Linked DNA regions of Cricetulus griseus. The protein of the gene in region 2 purifies or fractionates together with the protein of the main gene of each other region. This does not show direct contact. Links are inferred from orthologs where the notes say so. Each region holds a gene or a part of one and is shown on either strand. Other genes may lie near its edges.

What was found.
Region 1: the proteins of Cbll1 (region 2) and Src purify together in Homo sapiens (affinity purification with western blotting; 3 studies listed by BioGRID and IntAct, with this or other methods). This does not show direct contact. The link is inferred for Cricetulus griseus from reciprocal best matches to the Homo sapiens genes CBLL1 and SRC.

Annotation. Positions count from the first base shown.
Region 1 is NC_048599.1:22,080,475-22,090,091, forward strand, and holds part of Src (proto-oncogene tyrosine-protein kinase Src), read right to left. Parts: intron 5,458-9,617; 5' UTR 5,281-5,457; intron 4,238-5,280; 5' UTR 4,230-4,237; coding exon 3,980-4,229; intron 2,748-3,979; coding exon 2,648-2,747; intron 1-2,647. UniProt on the Homo sapiens protein: Non-receptor protein tyrosine kinase which is activated following engagement of many different classes of cellular receptors including immune response receptors, integrins and other adhesion receptors, receptor protein tyrosine kinases, G protein-coupled receptors as well as cytokine receptors.
Region 2 is NC_048598.1:169,003,744-169,013,962, reverse strand, and holds the start of Cbll1 (E3 ubiquitin-protein ligase Hakai), read left to right. Parts: upstream 1-4,609; 5' UTR 4,610-4,624; coding exon 4,625-4,667; intron 4,668-5,896; coding exon 5,897-6,061; intron 6,062-9,736; coding exon 9,737-9,837; intron 9,838-10,149; coding exon 10,150-10,219. UniProt on the Homo sapiens protein: E3 ubiquitin-protein ligase that mediates ubiquitination of several tyrosine-phosphorylated Src substrates, including CDH1, CTTN and DOK1. Targets CDH1 for endocytosis and degradation.

The DNA.
Region 1 (9,617 bases), on a different chromosome or scaffold from region 2:
CCAGGCCCATCCCTTCAAACAAGCAATACTTGCCCCTGTCCCAAATCATAGCTCACTCCTAAAAGTCCTTAACCGAAACTACAAGCCTCCTCCTGCAGCCTACACCATCCATGGGGAAAGTGAAGTCAGAGAGAACTGGGCCATGCCCAAAGTCACACAGCGAGTCATGGGGAATGAGCCAGCAGAGCCCCAGTGCCCAGAGCCCTCTACACTTACTGCCCCAGGAAGAAGGGGAGGAAGGAGGAAGAGGGAGGAGGGAGGAGGAGGACTCCCAGCAGCATTCGGGCTCTGGGCCTGGGCAGGAGGGTGAGGGGAGGAAGTACCTTTGCAGCCATCTGAATGTGAACCAGGTCTGGCTGGAGCAGGGGTCCAGAGACAGAGGAGGGAGGAGCAAGCGAGAGCCCAACCGGAGAGAAGAGGTAGAGATGGGGGTGGTGAGAGGCCGTGGTAGGGGGTCAAGGGAGAGAGCGAGAGCCAGGCAGTGCTGGGGACACTGGGAACAGGGCTGGGGGCAGCCAGAGGCCTCACATCCAAAGCAATCAAAGGAGACAGGGCAAAGGCTGGAGGTTTGAGGGGAGATCTGAGGACAGGACCTGGGAGGTGGAGTCCAGCCCTTCCCACACCCTGAACAGATGGAAGACTGAGGCCAGAGAAGCAAAGGACTCTGTGCAAGGTCACACAGCCAAGCCAGGTCTTGCCCAGGGAAGGTGTCTCCCTGTGGGTACCACGAGGCTCAATGGCTCTCCAGCTCATCTCCATGCAAGGTTGGGGGGTTTGGCAAGGCGGGTGTCACATGAGTCAGCTGGTGTTGTCCTTGGCCCCACCTTGACTCTAAGAAGATGCACAGCAACCCCACCCCGGCCCAGAGATGGGAAGGCCCTGGCCTCACATCACACAGCCCCAGCTTGAACACACAGGGTGAGCACACCTTCACCCAAATTTACAGATGGATAGGTTGAGGCTGGAGCAAGTGGGGCTAGGGAGCTTGAAGGACCTGCTGGAGGCCAGGTGAGCATTAGACCCTGACGCTTCTAGATGGCTGTGTGCAGTGAAGAGGGTATGACTGGAGCCGTGCAGGACAGACACACAGAAAGGCTGCAAGCTCACCCAGCACCCGTGCCCCAAAGCTCTACCCTGCTGTCTGATTTGACCCCCAAGGTTATCCTACAAGGAAGAAGGCAAGACTCCCACCCCCAGCTGATGAAAGTACATTTGAGACAGGAGGAAAACGCAGTCACTCTGGCAAGAGAGACCAGTGTTTTCTTTATAGAGTTGGTGAAATGAGGTGTGGAGAAGAGGGTTTGCCCACGGCTACAGACTCAGGTCCAAAGCTCTCTAAAATCTTTCAATCCAAAGCATCCATCTCCCCGATGGGGAAAGAGAGGCACAGAGAGAGCCATCATTTGCCCAAAGCCACACAGCGTAGCCAATGGCAGAGAGAGGCTGAAATCAAGGGGCCTCTGATGACGACAGCCAAATGCAGCAACCTGTATCCAGAGGCTGAGATCCCCAGAAGCAAAGGGACAGGAGACAGTCTAGGAAAGGGAGAGCACATGTCCAGGTTCCATCCTGGGCTTGCTACTCAGTAGCCATGTGGCCTTGGACAAGGACCTTCACAACTCCGAGCCTCAGTTTCCTCATATGTAAAATAGACCAGCTCCTCCATCATTACTGCTGCCTCCAGTGTCAGAGATAACAAGATGAAGGAGGTATGGGTGAGGATGGCTGGCACAGCACATGGCACCTGCTCGCTTTTGCCTCCCACAGAGGGCAGTTCCACCCTGGATCTTGAGGGATGAATAGGAGTTCACCAGATGGATAGAGGAGAAGGAATATTTCAGGCCGCATGCACAAGGATCAGGAGGCGTGAGCAGCGAGACATATCCAGGGGTGTGGAAAGCTTGCCTCCCTGGCCAGGCCTGTGGGGCTCTCAGTGATGGATTCCTGTATCCGCCAGAACACCCCAAATCAAACTCCCCAAGCCTTACCTGCTCCAAGGAGAGGCCCCCAATGCCCAACACAAACCTCCAACCAGCAGTGCCCCCACCTCGGGATGTGCCTGCCACTCTTACCTGCAGTAGCCCACTGTCTTTCCTTGAATGGGCAGCCCCTCCTCATGGCCATCTTTTGGGGACCCCAGCCTACCTCTATCCACTATTGGCCTGGCCTGGGGCAGCCCACTCCCTACCACACTGCCTCCCCCCCTGGCCTGCAGAATGCATGTAGCTGGCACTCAATGTGGAATCACAAACCAGAAGAGGGAGGTGGTGAGCTAACAGGAAGGTATGGGGAGAAGATGGAGGGGGGACAGGGATGGGGAGGGAGCTGGAGACCACGAGCAGGGCAGTGGGGAAAGCACATGCAGACAGCAGCCCCCAGCCTCAGCGAAGCATCCCCCTCCACCTGGCCTCGGTACACACCTGACATCCACCTTCCTCCTAAGGGCCAGCGAGAGAGAAGCAGAGAGAGGGAGAGGCTGAGGTGCGAAGGCAGGGCCCAGGAAAAGGGAGGACAGCGGTAGGGGTCTAGGGAGGGCCCCCACCCACCAAGGGCAGAAGCGGCCCTGCGGACTCTTCACCGCCCTCTGCCGGCAGCTCTGGGTATAGACAGGCCCACGCCCCCAGTGCATTCTGGCAGTGCCACTCACGTGTTGTTGACAATCTGTAGCCGCTCTCCTTTCTTGAAGGACAGGTCAGTCTCTGTCCTTGACTCATAGTCATAGAGGGCCACAAAGGTGGTCACCCCACCTGCAGAGAGGGATTGGAGATGTCAAGAACCTTGGAGGCAGGGGTGGGTGTGGAGGGGTGGCGAGAGACTGCACACTGAGTCCCTGTGAAGGAGCTAGGGGCCTGTGCCTCCCTGCGGGGCTGCAGATAGGCTAAGTGCTCCCTGTCTGGCATGTCTAGCTGACACAAGCAGAAGCCCCAGAGAACACGCACCCTTGTTCTGTTCAGACCCCAGCACACAGTGGTGACTCTGCCTCTCTGTGTATGTACCTGGAAGCTCTGGGTATCTGGGCCATGCTGCAGGGCCCTTCCCCTCGGTCTCTCCTCACCGGCAGCCCACCCTCCGTTGCCTAAGGCTCCACAATTCTTCTCAAATGAACCAATGGATGTGTGGCTGAGACTGGCAGAAGCAGACAGTCTGTCCAAGGGTCGCCTGTGGTGGGCTGTGGAGCTGGGCACCCAGCCCCTGTCTGCATCCCGTGTGCAAGCAATGACTGCAGGTGCACAACCGCATCTGAGGGTGCAAGGCTGTATGCACGCCTGTGTCTGTGTGTGCTGCATTGCGGGTGCATCTGAGGGTGCAAGGCGTATGCACGCCTGTGTCTGTGTGTGCTGCATTGGGGGTGCATCTGAGGGTGCAAGGCTGTATGCACGCCTGACACCTGTATCTGTGTGTGCTACGTTGGGGTTGCCTAGCCTATTTGTGCCTCCAGGAGCGGAGTGAACACTGTGAGCATTTCCATGGTGTCTCCACTCAGTGTGGGCACATGCCCAGTGTGGGCACATAACATAGGTCTGGTCGTGAGAGGTGCCTGTGTAGGTGTGCAGCTGTGCGTGTGGCTGGGTCTGAGTGTAGGATTTGCACGAGTGGGTGTGTAGCCGTGCACTCATCCGGCAGGAGCTTGAGTCACCCGGCTCAGCCCCTCGGTGTCGGGGCTGCCGCACCTCGCAGAGCCAACAGAGGGCGCAGGGGCGCACTCGGGCCACCGCACAGCGGAATCGGGAACAAAGGCTGGACGGGAGGCAGCAGCTAGGCGGTCCAGGGCAGTCCTTCCCTCTGGACCTCAGGGTCCCCTACAGCCCTCTCCTTCGGACCCCATTATGCTCTGAACCCAGAAGGCCCCAAAGCGGCAGGAACCCCTCTGTCTAGTTTACGAGTCCTTCCCCACTCTCAGGTCCTGGTAAACCAAATACCCAGAGCCCAGAGAGGGTGCACCTCAGCCCAGGGACACCCAGCAAAGCGGAGAGCCGACCTGCCAGAGGCCCGGCCCTCTGCGGGGAGGTGACCGTGTCCGAAGAGTTGAAGCCTCCGAAGAGCTTGGACTCAGCGGCCGTGGTGGCCACGAAGGCGGCGCTGGGCCCTCGGTGGCCGTCGGCGGAGGCGGGCTTGCTAGGTGTCTGCGAAGCCGGGAAGGCTCCCCCGGCCCCGTGCACGTTCTCGGCGGGCTCCAGGCTGCGGCGCCTCTGGCTGGCATCTTTGGGCTTGCTCTTGTTGCTGCCCATGATCCTGGCTGGGGGCGACAGAAGACCACGAGGTAAAGGAGAGCCTCTGAGAGCAGACAAGGCACCCCACCCACTCAGCAGCTAGGGAAAGAGTCAGCCTGGGAGAGCTGGCCTCACCGTTCCTTCACTTGTAAAATGGGCGTGTTGTTGGCACTTTAGGACCCAGCTACACCAGTCCAAAGCCCCGACCACAGCTACCCAAAGTCAGTTTCAGTCCTTTGTGCGCAGGGGCACTGAATCATATCAGGGTTCCAAGCACACAGGAGGGGTAAACTTAAGTTTGAGCAGTTGTTTAACATGGTGGTATGTGTGTGGGGGGGGCGGAGGGCTAAATATGAAGATAGCGGCAGGAGTACGGTATGTGGCTTGAAGAAGGGATGCCCGCCGGGCCTGTTCTCCAGCCACCGGACCTCTGCAAACACTGCTCGCTGACAGCTTCACTGGGAAAATCAGTACCCTTCAGCTCTCAGCTCGAAAGTCACTTTCTGGGTTGGAGAGATGGCTCATCAGGTAAGGGCACCTGCCGCAAACCCTGCTAACCTCAGTTCAATTCCCAGGACCCACATGGTGGAGAGGTGGGAGGAATGGTCCTGCGAGTTGTCCTCTGATTTCTGACCCTCACACATGCCATGGCTCACACACACACCTCCCCATAAGCACACAGAATAAAAAAAAAAATAAAGTCCAATACAAATGTTTCAAGTCTCCTCCTTTAGGAGGGCCCCCCAAATCCTTTCATGAGCCCCCTGACTACTGTACCCCCTTGGTTACAGACAACCCCCTCTTCTTTTAATCACTACAACTGTTCACTGGAGTGCACTGAGTGAGGTACACAGTAGGTGCTTAATGAACAGCCAAAAGAATGATGCGCCGTGAGAGAAATCTGAGTTCAAAGTTGAAGCCCAAAGTTTGGGAGGTCCTGGGACTAGAATACACAGAGGGAACCACGCTGAAGGCTCCAGGGCATCCAATGCCCTGCTATGCTCCTCCACATCCGTGCCCAACCCAGGAAGCTGGGCTGGGGGCTCCTCTCTCTCTCGTCTCCACTCACCTGGTGGGCAGCAGGGCTACCCCAGTGGATCTGGGGAGCAGCCTGGGGACTGGGCAAAAACACCAGCTGTGGCGTCCGGGGTCTTAGCCTAGAGACCCTGCTCCACCTCTCCCACTGGGTGTCCCTAGGCGAGTTGCTCCCCTTCTCTGGGCCTCGACATCCGCATCTGCAGAGCCTCTGTGGGGGTGTGAACATGGAACCCATTAGAGCTTTCACTCGAGGGCCAGCAGAAGCCTCCCCTTGCCAAAATGCCCTTTGGATTTTCCAAAGATCCTGGGAATGAGAGAAAGGGAGCTGGCACGGTGGTCTGGAAGGCTCGGAAGCCAACTCCCCAGTTCTGGTCTCAGCTGTCTAGTCTACACCAGTATGACCCCTATGCCATTTCTTACCCTTATGTAATAGAGCTATGGCAGGGCCAAATGGGACCATAGCAGCAGTCACTTAGCACACTAGGTCACTGGCATGTGTTCTGGATGTGCCAACAGGGGGTGGGTGGGGATGAGTGGGGGTGGAACCACTGGGATGCAGAAGGCCTCAGCATCAAGCCAGGTGTCCTTAAAGAACAGCTGTCCGCAGCACTAAGCCCAGCTCTGTGGCTCCTATGCATGGGGACCTGGGTATAGCAGCCAGCCCTTTACTCTCAGATATGTGGAGATGTACGCTGGGGTGTGGCTAAGGCTGACACCCAGACTCAGAGAATGTGGGGCTAGGCTTGCCCAGGAACCCAAGCAATCACCAGACTCCCAAGGGCCAGGCCAGCAGTGGACAGTAAGGAAACACCTGTTTCCATGGCAACTCATTCTCTCCAGGTCATGAGGGGTCGGCTAACCAATGGGTTTCCCTATGGCCTGGCTTGCTAGAAGCCAGCCCAGTTGGTCCCCTCAACCCCCGGGGAAGTTGTACAGTTCCTGGACATCAGATCCTTGGCTAACGGTTCCAGAAGTACTTTAAGAGACAATACAAAATATAAAAGATTTTAAAATAAAATCTATTTACTATATACAAAGAATTGTCTGAGTGTAAGAGCTTTCTTTGGAGTGAGCATAACAGTGCATAGTAGGCCCCCTGTCATTGGAGGGGATCAAGAATGTCTCTTGGCAGATGTGCCTAAAGAGAGGAGGAGAACCAGCCCCCGGAAGATGCATGCCCCATCTTTTGAGGAGATGGAACATGGGTATAGGTCCTTCACTTGAGACCTTACACTAACCAATGGACACACATACCTCCCAGTATACAGAAAGTAAAGTGGGCAAATCCAAGGAGACCTGGGCCACCGGATGCAAGGCTGGCTGGTGTGGGGGATAGGATCTGTCTGTGGTTAATGCTGGTTATACAGACACCAGGTATCTGAAGAGGCAGCAGGGTTGGGAGCCAGCCCAGGAGTGGGTTGTAGCAAGACAGGTGACACTCAGCACCCTCTGAGTCTAAGACGGGAAATCAAGGGATTGTGGGAAAGGAAAGAGCACCTCACACAAGCTGTTCAAGCCTCTCTGTCCAAGAGCCCATAACTCCAGCACAAGTGAAGCTTGCAATGAGGCTGCCGGTGTAGGTAACTGCCCCTCCTTGTAGGGGTATTTCCAATAAGAACTCAAGTAGGGCCAGAGAGATGGCTCAGCCAGGAAATGCTGCTGTGGAGCCTGACAGCCAGAACTCCAGGCACAGAACCACAGTGAGGAGGGACCCTGGAAAGGGGTCTTCTGACCTCAACATGCTTGCTGTGGCTTGCGTGTGCCCACACTCATACATACACACAATAATAAATAAAGACTAAACTAGCAATCAACCATGGTTAAGGTCCAAGATCGAGGGGCCTTCCAGTATGATCTTTCTCTGTTTCCAGATAAACCTGCCATTTTTTTCTTTTATGTGCATTGATGTTTTGCCTGGATATATGTCTTGTGAGGGTGTCAAGTCCTCTGGAACTGGAGGTACAGATGGGTGTGAGTTGCCATGTGGGTGCTAGGAATTGAACCTTGGTTCTCTGGAAGAGCAGCCATGCTCTTAACTGCTGAACCATCTTTCCAGCCCCCAAACCTGCCATTTTTCTAGCAATCTCCAAACCCCATTCACAGTCAAAGGCTCCTTGTTCCATCTGTGTGGCCCAAGGTTTCACCATCACACTTTAATTCTCCCCAAGACGCACAGAGCCACCCTACAATCTCACCTGGGATGGAAATGGGGCTAGAAAGATGGCTCAGTGGTTATGAACCCAGGTTCAGGTCCCAGCACCCATGACAAGCCTGGCATCGGGCAAACGCCTGAAAGTCCGGGATGGAGGGATCCAATGCCCTCTTCCAGCCACCTAGCACAAAGGCACACACACACACACACACACACACACACACACACACACACACACACACACCACACACAAATAATAAATCTTTTCTTTTTAAAAGGGGGACTGGAGGCTGGAGAGATGGCTCAGAGGTTAATAGCACTGGCTGCTATCGCAGAGGTCCTGAGTTCAATTCCCAGCAACCTCATGGTGGCTCACAGCCATCTGTAATGAGATCTGGGGCTCACAACTATCTATAATGAGATCTGGTGCCATCTTCTGGCCTGCAAGCATACATGCAGATAGAATGCTGTATACATAATAAATCATTTTTTTTGAAAAAGGGGGGGTGGGACTGGGTGTGGTGACGCACACCTGTAATCCCAGCACTCAGGAGGCAGAGACAGGCAGATCTGTCAGTTCAAAGCCAGCCTACTCTGCACAGTGACTTCAAGGCCAACCAGGGCTACATAATAAGACCTTACCTCAGAAAAAGAGTAGGGGCAGGGAAAGAAAGAGAAGACAAGGAGACAAGTCTTAAAAACTCCTTGAGCAACACAATTCCAAAGCCTCCAAAATTTTACTCACAGCTAGAGCTAAGAGACTGGCAGCCCTTCAGAAGCCCCACCAACACCTGTGTGTCCTGTCCTTTTCATATGCGTTTCTCTTTCTGTTAAACCCCATATTTAAATTGCATCTGTGTGTGTGCACACAAGAGGTGTACATGCTTCTGTGTACCTGTGGGGGATGCACTCACCAGCACATGTAGAAAGCCAGATGCTGCCAAGAGGACGGCTTCCTTGGTTGCTTCTTCACCTTATCTTTTCCAGACAGGGTCTCACATAGCCCAGGCTGACCTTGAACTTGCTAAGTAGCTGAGGATAACCTGCTAACCCACCAAACCCTGTTTATCAGTGATGGAGATGGAACTCAGGGCCTTTGCATGCAGGCAAGCACTCTACCAGCCAAGTTACCTCCCCAGCGCTAACTTCTCTTTCCTTCTTCTTTTTTAAAAACAATTGTTTATTTTTATTTCATGTGCATTTGCATTTTGCCTGCATGTATATCTGTGTGAGAATGTTAGATGCCCTGGAACTAGAATTACAGTCAGTTGTGAGCTGCCCATGTGGGTGATGGGAATTGAACTCAGGACCTCTGGAAGAGCAGGCAGTGCTCTTGATCACTGAGCCCTGTCTCTAGCTGCCCCACCCCCAATTCTTTCCTTAATAAATTCAACTCTGCTTTATACCAACTCTTCCTAAAATCTTTTCTGCAGCTCCTCATGAGTGGAGATTTCTGAAAAGAACACTGCAGGCTGATGCAGACAGCAGTGTGGAACTTGTGTGCACAGGACCTCTGGGAATGGATTCGAGAAGCACCGGAAACACATAGAGGACCTGTATTGATTGGCCTCTAAGCATGGTAAACAGCCCAGTGGACTTGGGAATTGCTGTCTATGAGGAAGCAATGGACACCAAGCTTCTTGGATGCCAGGCTCCCTTTCAGCGAAGCACCCAGGATAGACAGGTTGCTACCAGCTGCTCTACAAACATTTGACTGAGCACAGCCTCACAAAGCTACACCCTGCTTAGTCACTGACAGGGTCACATTACAGAGATGGAGGATCGCTGGGTGCCAGTATCCAAACCCTCCAGAAGCTGGACCCCTGCTCTAAGCTCTTGGCAAATACTGGGTCCTCATGAGCACCTAGAATGTGGCTATTAACAGCATCCTTAGTTAACTGACAGGGAGGCCCAGGCACAGAGAAGCTGAAGAAGTTGCCTGAAGTCACACAGCAAGAGTAAAAAGATGAGGGTGACAGAGGTAAGAGCCATACAGGGCAAGCAGGGAAAAGGGCTCTTTGAGGGGTCTAGTGGGATCTCAGGGCCCCCTCAAGACCCATCTCTCTCTGTCTCTGTCTGTCTCTGTCTCTGTCTCTCTCTGTCTCTCTCTGTCTCTCTCTGTCTCTCTCTCTCTCTCTCTCTCTATATATATATATATATATATATATATATGTTGGGGAGCTCAGCAGTTCTTTTGGGGGGTCATGCAGGGTACA
Region 2 (10,219 bases):
CAGAAACAACAACAAAACACACCAGCACTATATTGAGAGACCTCTCCGAGTGTAGTGAAAGATTTAACAGAAGGCGGAATTCATTTCACATGAATTCCAAAGAGATGGCACCTGGGCTGTGAAATAACCTTTTGAAAATAGTGACGGTTATCTGAGATGCAGAACAGTCTTCAGAGGTACCTAGCAAATCAGAAGTTTTCAATGAGAATTGCTTAGGTAATGGTTCCTTCAAACAATTGCAGATAAAAGGTTTTGGTATGTGGAAATTGATTTGCTAAAGGTACCTTTTGTGTAACAATAAAGAAGCTGTTTACCCAGCCATGAGGCAGTCTTTCCTGTTGCTACTAAAACCTTCAGCTTGTTAGCTGGAGTGACTCTTCACTGACGTGAATAATACCGACGACAGAGAAAGGTTAAGCTTCAAATACCTAACTCTTTTCCATTCCCCAATAATACCAACAACAGAAAGCATCCTACAACCACCCACTAGTACAGAAACTTACATTTTAAGAACAATAAATCGGGCGTTGGTGGAGCATGCCTTTAATCCCAGCACTGGGGACGCAGAGGCAGACGGATCTCTGTGAGTTCCTGGCCAGCCTGGTCTCCAGAGCGAGTGCCAGGATAGGCTCCAAAGCTACACAGAGAAACCCTGTCTCGAAAAACAAAACAAAACAAAACAACAACAACAACACTAACAACAAAAATAGACACTCAGAAATGTCCTTAGTTGTGAGTGTACCTACAACCTTGTTTACAAAGCCGCAATGAGTTGGAGTTTTTGAAAAGACCACTATGATTTCGACAGTGTTAGTCACAGCCGTTACGTGCAACAACACAGGACACGATGCTACACATTCTTTATTTGGAATTGAGTACCGTGAAAACATTTTTAAAAAGAGGCCAAAACAATAATGTCCTACTGAGCTAGGCACTCTGGCACTGAAAGCGTGAACGACCCAAGGTAACGATGTCGTCACCAAGGGACTACCGTTAGAGCCCAAGTCCCTTGACTCCGGGACTGATGTTTTCCACTAATTGTGCTCCTCTCTCTCTATCTGAGAGCTGCAAGTGCAAAGGGCTGGAGAAGGCAGGAGACTTCTATGAGCCAAATCTGCCAGGTGGGGATGCTCTCAACCCTGAAGGTCCTCGGCAACCGCCCGTGACACTTTCTTTTGTTTTGGCGGAGCAAGATGAAAACTGCAACCACAGACCCCAGGGACCAAGAACTGGAACTAGGTACCGCTTGCTATGGTAACTCTCTCTTCCTCGGCCGGGGCCAGCCGGCCTGCCCTCTCTCACTTCTCCCTTCCGCCAGGCCCCGGCGCATCCCCACTCCCCATCCCTCGGTCCTCCCTTCCTTCCTTCACCCGGTCCGCACTGCACACCCAAGTTCCGTGTCCCCGCTCCCTCCAGTCTTAGCTCGGGTTCGCGGCACTGCACGCGCGCTCCAGCTGAGACTTCGGTCGGAGCCAGGGAAAGCGCGGGTGCCGAGTGGGTCCTGGGGCTCCTCAGGACAAAGCACGACTTAGACAATGAGGACCGTGCCTCCTCCCCGGAGGAGCGCCGCCGGCTCCGCTCCCCTCGGGCGCCTACGGAGCGCGCGCGTGTTTACACTTTCCTACCCCCGGCGGCGGATCCGGGGGGCATTCCAAACCGTTACTCCGCCCGCCGGGGTGGGACCAGCCCAACGGCTGAGCCTGCGCTCTGGGCCGGCCGGCATCGGCGGACTACAAATCCCAGGAGGCCTCGCGCCTCAGGGGCGGGCAGCGGCTGACCTCCCCTCCGCTCTTCCCTCTACTTCCTATTGCCGTTCAACGGCAATAGGTGTCCCTCATACAGCCGAAGGCTGCCTCCTCCGGGGAGCCCTCGTGTCCCCGCTCTTTCTGCCTCAGCTCTGGCTATGCCTGACTCCCTCGTAAGAGTCGGGTGGCGGCGGCAAGGGAAGGAAGCCCCAGCAAGCGACCCGAGAGCACTTCCGTCTCTGGGCTCCGGAAGGTAGAGCGCACGCGCTTGCTGCGACTGCGGAGCGACTCACTTCCGCTCCCACTGTGCCCTGCGAGCCGAATCATGGATCACACTGGTAAGGAGGCGGAGGCAGCGGGGGTCCTGGTTTCGGGCCCCCTTGGCTCGTGTGGGACTGCTCGCCCGGGGGGCATAGGGGCTCCCCTTCCCTCGCGGCGCCGGGCCGTGGCGGGGAGGACGCGAGCTCGCAGGCCCGGTGCGGGCTGGGCCTGCTGCCCCGGCCTACCCTTGGGAGCCGTGCCTCGGTCCCCGAGACCGGCTGCCCCGCCGCGGTGCCGCCGAGCCCGCTCTCCCGACACTGCGCCGCGCAGGCTCGCCGCGAACGGGAGAGGGCCAGTTTGTTTGTTGTTTGTTTGTTTGTTTTCCCCCATCCCATTCCGGTTGCGCTGCCCTTATAGCCGGCTGGACTTCACTTAGGGAATTGTAGAAGCGCCCGGACGCCGGGCGAGAGGGGGTTGGAGACTTCCTGCTGCCTCCCGACTTCGGGGAGCTGCTGCTCTGCTGTGCTCCTCCCTGTGGTGGTTGTCTCTGGGTTTTCACGGACTAGAGGTTAGAGAATCGGATGTAGGTTTCGAAGTGATCAGCGGAGCATCTTTTCTAAACCCAAAGCATGCCCCACCCTTCGGCCGTGGTCCATTTGCATCTTTGGGGGACATATACAAAAAAATAATTAAGATCAAGACATTTCCATCGCGTATTCCAAGTAATAGTGGCTTCAGACTTTGTTTCTGCTAGCTTCGTCTTCTTTCTTAGTTATTGAATGAGTGCATTTGGCTTTGAGTGTTTCAGACATACAGACAAGCAGGAAGAAAAGGCCTTTTCTTTAAGAATTGATGGAGATGCCCTCAGTCTTCAAATAACTACTTAATTATATAATTGCTTGCAGATACTTGTAGGCTTGGAGATAGAATGATGGGCTGGTAAACAATAGGACTGTGTCCTTGCCTTCGAGTATACATACATTCTATCAAAAGCGACAGGGAGGTTGGTTTCTTTTTAAAAAAACCGCTTACAGAGTGTGGTGAGTACTTCAAGAAAACAGGTGCTTACGGAGTAGAAATTTCAGACAGTGCCAGGGAAAAGTGTTTCTGGAATGATAAGACGTGGAGAAAGGCAGATGTCTGCGGTCTAGTTAGCAAGAGGAAGAGCCCAAGTTGAGATGAGAAAGAACACGTTACCTCGTTCAGGAATTTGAGAATCATGGTAAAGGGTTTAATTTTAAGTGGCTACAAAGAAATTGCACAAAACTAGGAGTATAATAATTTTAAAAGTAATCCCAGCTCCTCTATGGAGAATGGTGTAGGAGAGGAAGAACAGGAATCACCAGAGGGAGGCTCACTTTAGTCAAAGTGTAGCTCAGTGATAGAGCACTTACCTAACTAGCACAGGTCCTGAGTTTAATCCCCAGCAATGCTGTCGGGGGGAGGGGGGGGAGTTGGGGCTGTGCACAGACAATGGGCAGTTGCAATAAATATTTTGATCGAGAATCCAACAACCACTAGTGGATTGGTTTGTGTGGAAGTATGTGAGAGAAATGAGAAAAAACTGAGTTTCTCATTAGAGTGTCTTTTAAAAATTCCAGTTTCTAAGTTATTAATTAAAGGTTGCCCCCAGAGAGATACAAATCATTCTAACATGAAAATAATCACTATAAGCTAGCTAGATTTTTTTAAAAGAGTTTCCAGCCAGCTATCCTTTCTGCTTAACATTGGCTTTTCTAGGTTTTAAATTACTTATTAGGCAGTCGCCTTAATGTTTCAGTGTTAATTGCTGTACATTTTGAGGGAAAAAAATCAAACTAAGTGGAATGACTCAAACTTTCACAAGACTCAAATACAAATTTGAAAACTATTTGAATCACAGAGCCTTTGGCAAATCAAGAAAATGCCAGTTAGCTAGTTAATTGACATTTCCTGACTGGATAGGCTTCTCAGAGTAATGATTTTAATGTCAAAGGGTCAAGAGGTCTTGTAAATGGAAGCATTGAAATAGAATTTTGCCAGAAATAAACAATTCCAGAAATCCCTCCCTCCCTCCCTCCCTCTTTTTTTTTTTTTTTTTGAGATAGGCTTTCTCTGTGTAGCCCTGGCTATCCTGGAAGTCACTCTGTAGAGACTGCTGTTTTTTTTAAAGCTACTGTTTGCCTCACAGACTTCAAGTGACAGCATTCGGGGCTGGAGAGATGGCTCAGGAGTTAAGAGCACTGGCTGTACTTCCAGAAGACCTGGGTTCAGGTCCCAGCACCCAGATGGTAGCCTCAAGTTTCAAGGGGATCTGACACCTTCACGCAGACATACATGCAGGCAAAACACAAATGCACATGAAATAAAAATAAAATTATTAGAAAAGAAACATTGGGCTCTTAAAAGGGCTAGGCTGGCTGTTCAAATAATGGAGAGCTCAGTTGTGTGAGGTAGTTGAAAAGTGCAGATAAAGCGTGCTATTTTCATTAACAAAGGTAATACCACTAAGAATCTTTTAATACCCGAAGGGCAACAGCTTCGTTTTCATGCAAGGGAAAAAGATCATCTGTCATATGTCTATAGCTGGTAGGTACTTCTGTATGGATGAGTTAATACAGTGAAGACTGCTGAAATACATGAACAGACATAAAAAGATCATCTGTCATATGTCTATGGCTGGTGGGTACTTCTGTATGGATGAGCTAATGCAGTGAAGACTGCTGAAATACATGAACAGACATTCTATCAATTTTAGTGCAGTCTTGAAGGTTGATCAAAATGTGTTTGTTTTGTTCAAGATTGTATCTATTCATGTAAAATCCCCTTTTCATGAAAAATTTTAAGAGGAGTTTGCTGTTACACTAGAAAGTAGACAGATGTTTAATTATTGAGACCCATTTTGAATTACATTTGGCTTTAATGGATGTAATGTGGACATTTGGGCTTTAAGTCTTGATTGTAATTCTTGCAGGAACTCTGATCAGTAATTTGTGTTTGAAATGTTACAATTTTAAAGTTACATTTGTATTTCCTATTTTTAAGCACTTAAGGTAAAATTGAGTATTTGTTTTGTTTTGTTTTTTGTTTTTTTGAGACAGGGTTTCTCTGTGGCTTTGGAGGCTGTCCTAGAACTAGCTCTTGTAGACCAGGCTGGTCTCGAACTCACAGAGATCCTCCTGCCTCTGCCTCTCGAGTGCTGGAATTAAAGGCATGTGCCACCAACGCCGGGCTGAGTATTTTGTGTTACATATCTTTATGTACTTGGAAACAAGTACATCCATCAGATTGAGTGTTGGATTTCTAATTTTGTTTGTCTTTATGTAAATTTACTAAGTTTACTGGGTGGATACTTTGCAGGCTTAATAATTAGATACATATTTAGAGGCAATTTTGTTTTTTCTCCTTTATATTTAAGAATCTATTACAATATGTATCAGGTTTTTTTCATTTTTATTTTATTTTTTAATAATTTTATGTACATTGATATGAGGGTGTTAGATTCCCTAAAACTGGAGTTATAGGCAGTTATTAGCTGCCAATCCCTGTCCTCTGGAAGAGTGGCTGGTATTTTTAATTGCTGAGCCATCTCTCCAGTTCCTTCTTGTACTTTAAAAATGTTTATGTTTCTGTAAATTACTATGGGAATTTTTAGTGTTCAAAGTTCTAGAAAGAGATAATACTTCTGTAACTTGTCAGCTTCTGAAAGGGTTCCATGTTCAAAGGGTAACCAAAAGCATTGTTTTAAAGGGTAACTCCAAATGAGGAATAGTAGGTCAGTCTGGTATTTAAAATCACAACCAAGATCTTTAATTTATTGTTTGATGTTGATTTTATCTTTATATTTGTAGAACAATTTTCAAAAAGAAAAGTGAAAGAAATTACAATTTCTTCTGTTCCATTCATTATAGACAATGAGTTACAAGGCACTAATAGTTCTGGATCCTTGGGTGGTCTTGATGTTCGAAGAAGAATTCCCATAAAACTCATCTCCAAACAAGCCAACAAAGTTAAACCTGCACCTCGAACTCAAAGGACTATTAGGATGCCTGCAAAGGTCCCACCAGGTGATGAAGGTAACAGTTGTATTGTTTTATCTGAGTGCACCAGTTAATCTACTTGATTTTATTTACTTAAACCTATTTAAAAAATTTTTAACCTATTTTCTAACCGTTTTTTCTCCCTTTGTAAGCCCCCTTATGATCTTTTCAAAGAATCTAATCAATATTGCAGAGAGCATTATATTAAAAGTAAAATTTGTTTTCACAATCCTTTCCAAAGCTAGTATCTGTTAAGATGGTGATGGGTGATGATGGCACACACCTTTAAACCCAGCACTTGGGAGGCAGAGGCAGGTGGATCTCTGAGTTTGAGGTCAGCCTGGTCTACAGAACTAGTTCCAAGGCTACACAGAAACTTTGTCTAGAAAAAAACAAAAACATTAGGGTGGGGTGAAGGGGTTATTTAGCCACTTATGGTGACCCATGCCAGAAATGCCAGTACTTAGAAAGCTGAGGCAGGAGGATTGCTCAGTTGTAGTTTGATGCCAGACCCTGTTGCAAACAAAGGTGTTTTAACTTCTTTCTGCCTATTTGTTTCACTGTAACTTGACTTGAGGGATGGCAAGGTTAGTGGGTGAGGGCAATTGGCACATAACCCTGTTGACTTATGTCAATCCCTAGAACTAATGTAAAAGAGGAAGACGAGAACTGATGTCCAGAAGTTGTTTTTAAAGACCTGATTGTACATTTTAGAATTTATCAGTTCCTGCTCAGTTACTCTTCAGAAAGGGTTTGTTAGTTTACCCTCACACACACCGTTATTTCTTACTATTAAACTTTTTTTTTTTTTTTTTTGAGACAGGGTCTCCATCCTTGACCTTGAGTAGTCTTGCTGCCACAGCCTTCTGAGTGCTGTGATAATAGGCAGGGGCCACTGTGCCCATGACAGAAACTGAAGTGGATGGGTGCCATTTCTTGCCTCAGTTCCATCATCTTACTTTTGATTGGTGCCCATCTCTTAGCTTTTGAGTTCTTTGTGAAAGTGGCAGTGTTAAATGTCTGTGTAGTTCATTTATCTTTTGAATTTAATATGGATAAAACATTACTGTAAAGAATTTGAACATTCTAGGTAGTCTGTTAACTAGAGTTTGCTGTTTCACTTTCCTGTCTTTCCATTTAATTAGAAGTCAGCAAAGTGGCCTACATGTCAGATTTGGTTCCTTTAAAAAAGTAAAGTTCCCATTCATTTGGTTATTGCCCATGGCTGCCTTCCCACTACCATGGCAGAGTGGAATAGATTGATGTGACGTAGAAAGCCTAAAATTTGCACTGTGTGACCATTTATAGCAACAGTTTATCCCATGTTTTAGAGCATTTATGGAGATATATATATATATATATCTCCATATCTTTTTAAAAGTGAGGTCTTGCTTTTTAAATTTTTACTCAAACAGTTCACCAGCTCCCCAAATACTGGGTAATCTGTCTTTTCCTTCCAGAATGGAATCTTGCTGTTAGCACATATTCAAGTTCTAGGAGGACTTGTCTTACTCCTAAGTTTTGTTCTTATGATCTGTTTCTCTTCAGAACCAAACTGCTTTCATTGTGTTTTATAACGTATTCTACTGTAAGCTTCCTCTCATATACTAAGGTAGTAGATTTGAAGTTAAATGTTGTAAATCACAGTAGTGAGTTTGGATGTGCTCAGTGATATAGTACATGCTCAGCATGCACAAAGGCTGGCTGAGAACAGCAGCGTAGGCAGATGCTGCACTATTGTAATCTAGGCTTCCCCACCCATGCTGACCTTTAGTCAATTATTTTTTGACTGCACATAATATACTTTGTATAATCAAAGTGCAAAAAAGCCAAGTTCCCCCTTCTGTACTTCTTCCTGTAGGCAGAATTTTTTGTTGGGACTGCGATTCCCAAATAACCACTGCAAGACTTCTTATTAATTATAAAAGCTAGACCAGTAGCCCAGGTTTATTACTGACCTGCTCTTACTACTTAAATTAAGTCATTTCTTTTGACCTGTGTGTTGTCCTAAGGCTGTGGCTTTTACCTCTCTTGCATGTCCTGCTTCCAGCAACTCCTCTGACTCTACCCTTCTTCCCAGCATTCTCTCTGCCATGAAAAATCCTGCCTAGCCATTGGCTAATCAGCTTTATATTAACAATGAGCACAACACATATTTACCATATGTACGAAGATTGTTCTACAGCATTTTCCTCTAGGCATTTCACCCACATTCCAAAGCCATACAGCCTCTTTTATAGGGGACCTACTATTGCTCTTATAAGAGAGCAAACTGATCTGAAAGATAGTTTTTGAATTTAAAAAATATTTTCTTATTCTAAAATTGATCAAAATGGAGTTTTGGGTGTAAGTATGATAACTGTAAATACCTGCTTAATGATAAGAGAACAGCTTGTGCCACTCCAAAAAGTGGTCATGTGTGCCATGTTTCCCTAGACCACTGACCTCATTAATTTTCTGGGTTTGGCATGCTGATTTTCTTTAGCTTGAATTTTAATGACCACTGTTTTTATGAAGCTTAAATGGGTCATATAAGAGCTTAGGGCACTCGTCACAAGAAAGCCATGGCTTTGAACTATATAGTTTTGTTGGGATTAGTTAAAAAGTATAGTGTAGCCGGGTACATGCCTTTAATCCCAGCACTTGAAAAACAACAAAAACTGGCTTGACTTTCTGTGTGTGTGTGTGTGTGTGTGTGCACACATTAGTAGTTGTGCACAAAGTATGTGCTTTGGCCACTCTGTTTACCAGCTCTAAGGCCAAGGAAACCTTGATTGATACCTTAGATTTATTTATTTATTTATTTATTTATTTATTTATTTATTTATTTATTTATTTATGAGACAGGGTTTCTCTGTGTAGCCATAGTTGGCCTGGAACTTGCTCTGTAGATCAGGGTGGCCTTGAACTCAGAGATGCACCTGCCTCTTCCTCCGAAGTGCTGAGATTAAAGGTGTGTGCCACCATTGCCCAGCGGTATTTTTGTCTTCTTAGCTTTACTTGGGTAATTGGAATCTACCTGGACTTCCCATCAGACTGTTCATGGTTTGTGTTGTTTTGCTTGAGATTAGAGGCTTGCTGTCAACTTTTCAATTAGACTAGAAATATTCCGCCCATTTGATCTTCATAGTGTCCTGTTACATGATATTTATATATGCTGTAAATGACCAGATACTGGTAAGTATTTTGCCTCTTGCAGTCTGGGTTGTTGACTAGGGAGAGGCTTTAGCTAAAAGGATCAAGTGTATTCTTTTCATCTGTTATTTCTGAAACTATTCCCTCTTTGAGGGGCAGTCATAAAAAGCCTGTAGAATTTATTTAATCCTTTGGCAATCAGATCAGTCTCTTGTGGCTTAATACCACTTTTGTAGGTGCTTTAGAATAGATGATGATAGTACTTTAAAATTTGGGCAATAAACTTAATGGCAAGGTTTTATAATAGAGACGTGTGTGGAGTTGATGAGAGCATTGAGTAAGACGCTTATATGGTGGTTTCAATATACACTGCACATCATCCTCTGTAAAGTCCTACAGATGGACTAGATGATCACCAGGCTCAGTTGGCATTGTAAACTAGTTTTGATTTCATGTTCTTAGATCTTTGAAAGTCATCAGAAACATTTTTCGGTAAATAGGTCTATTTTGTCATGTAAATATTACTTTAACAATGAAATTTGAAGTTGCAAAGTGTAATATAACTTTTTTTCTCAGAAGGATTTGATTATAATGAAGAACAACGGTATGACTGTAAAGGAGGCGAACTCTTTGGAAATCAGCGAAGATTTCCAGGACATCTTTTTTGGGATTTTAAGGTATAACTAAAAATAAAAAAATAAGTATTAAGTACTGATATAAATTTTTAGTATGTCTATAACTTAGCACACACATAAGTTCACTTGCTTGTTTCTATATCTTCCAAAATAATTTGAGGTAATTTTTCAATAAACCAAGTAAAATCAACTACCACTATTTAAGGAGAATAAGCAAACGGAGTTATACTAAGCAGCTTTTATTTCTGTTTGTAGTAACAACTGTTATAGAATTCCAACCATTTCACTGTGTGAATTGATAAGTACAATTTTCAGAATTGCTTAAAGAGAAAATTTTAATTATCATTTTAACAGATAAACATCTTAGGTGAAAAGGATGATACTCCAGTTCATTTCTGTGACAAATGTGGATTGCCTATTAAAG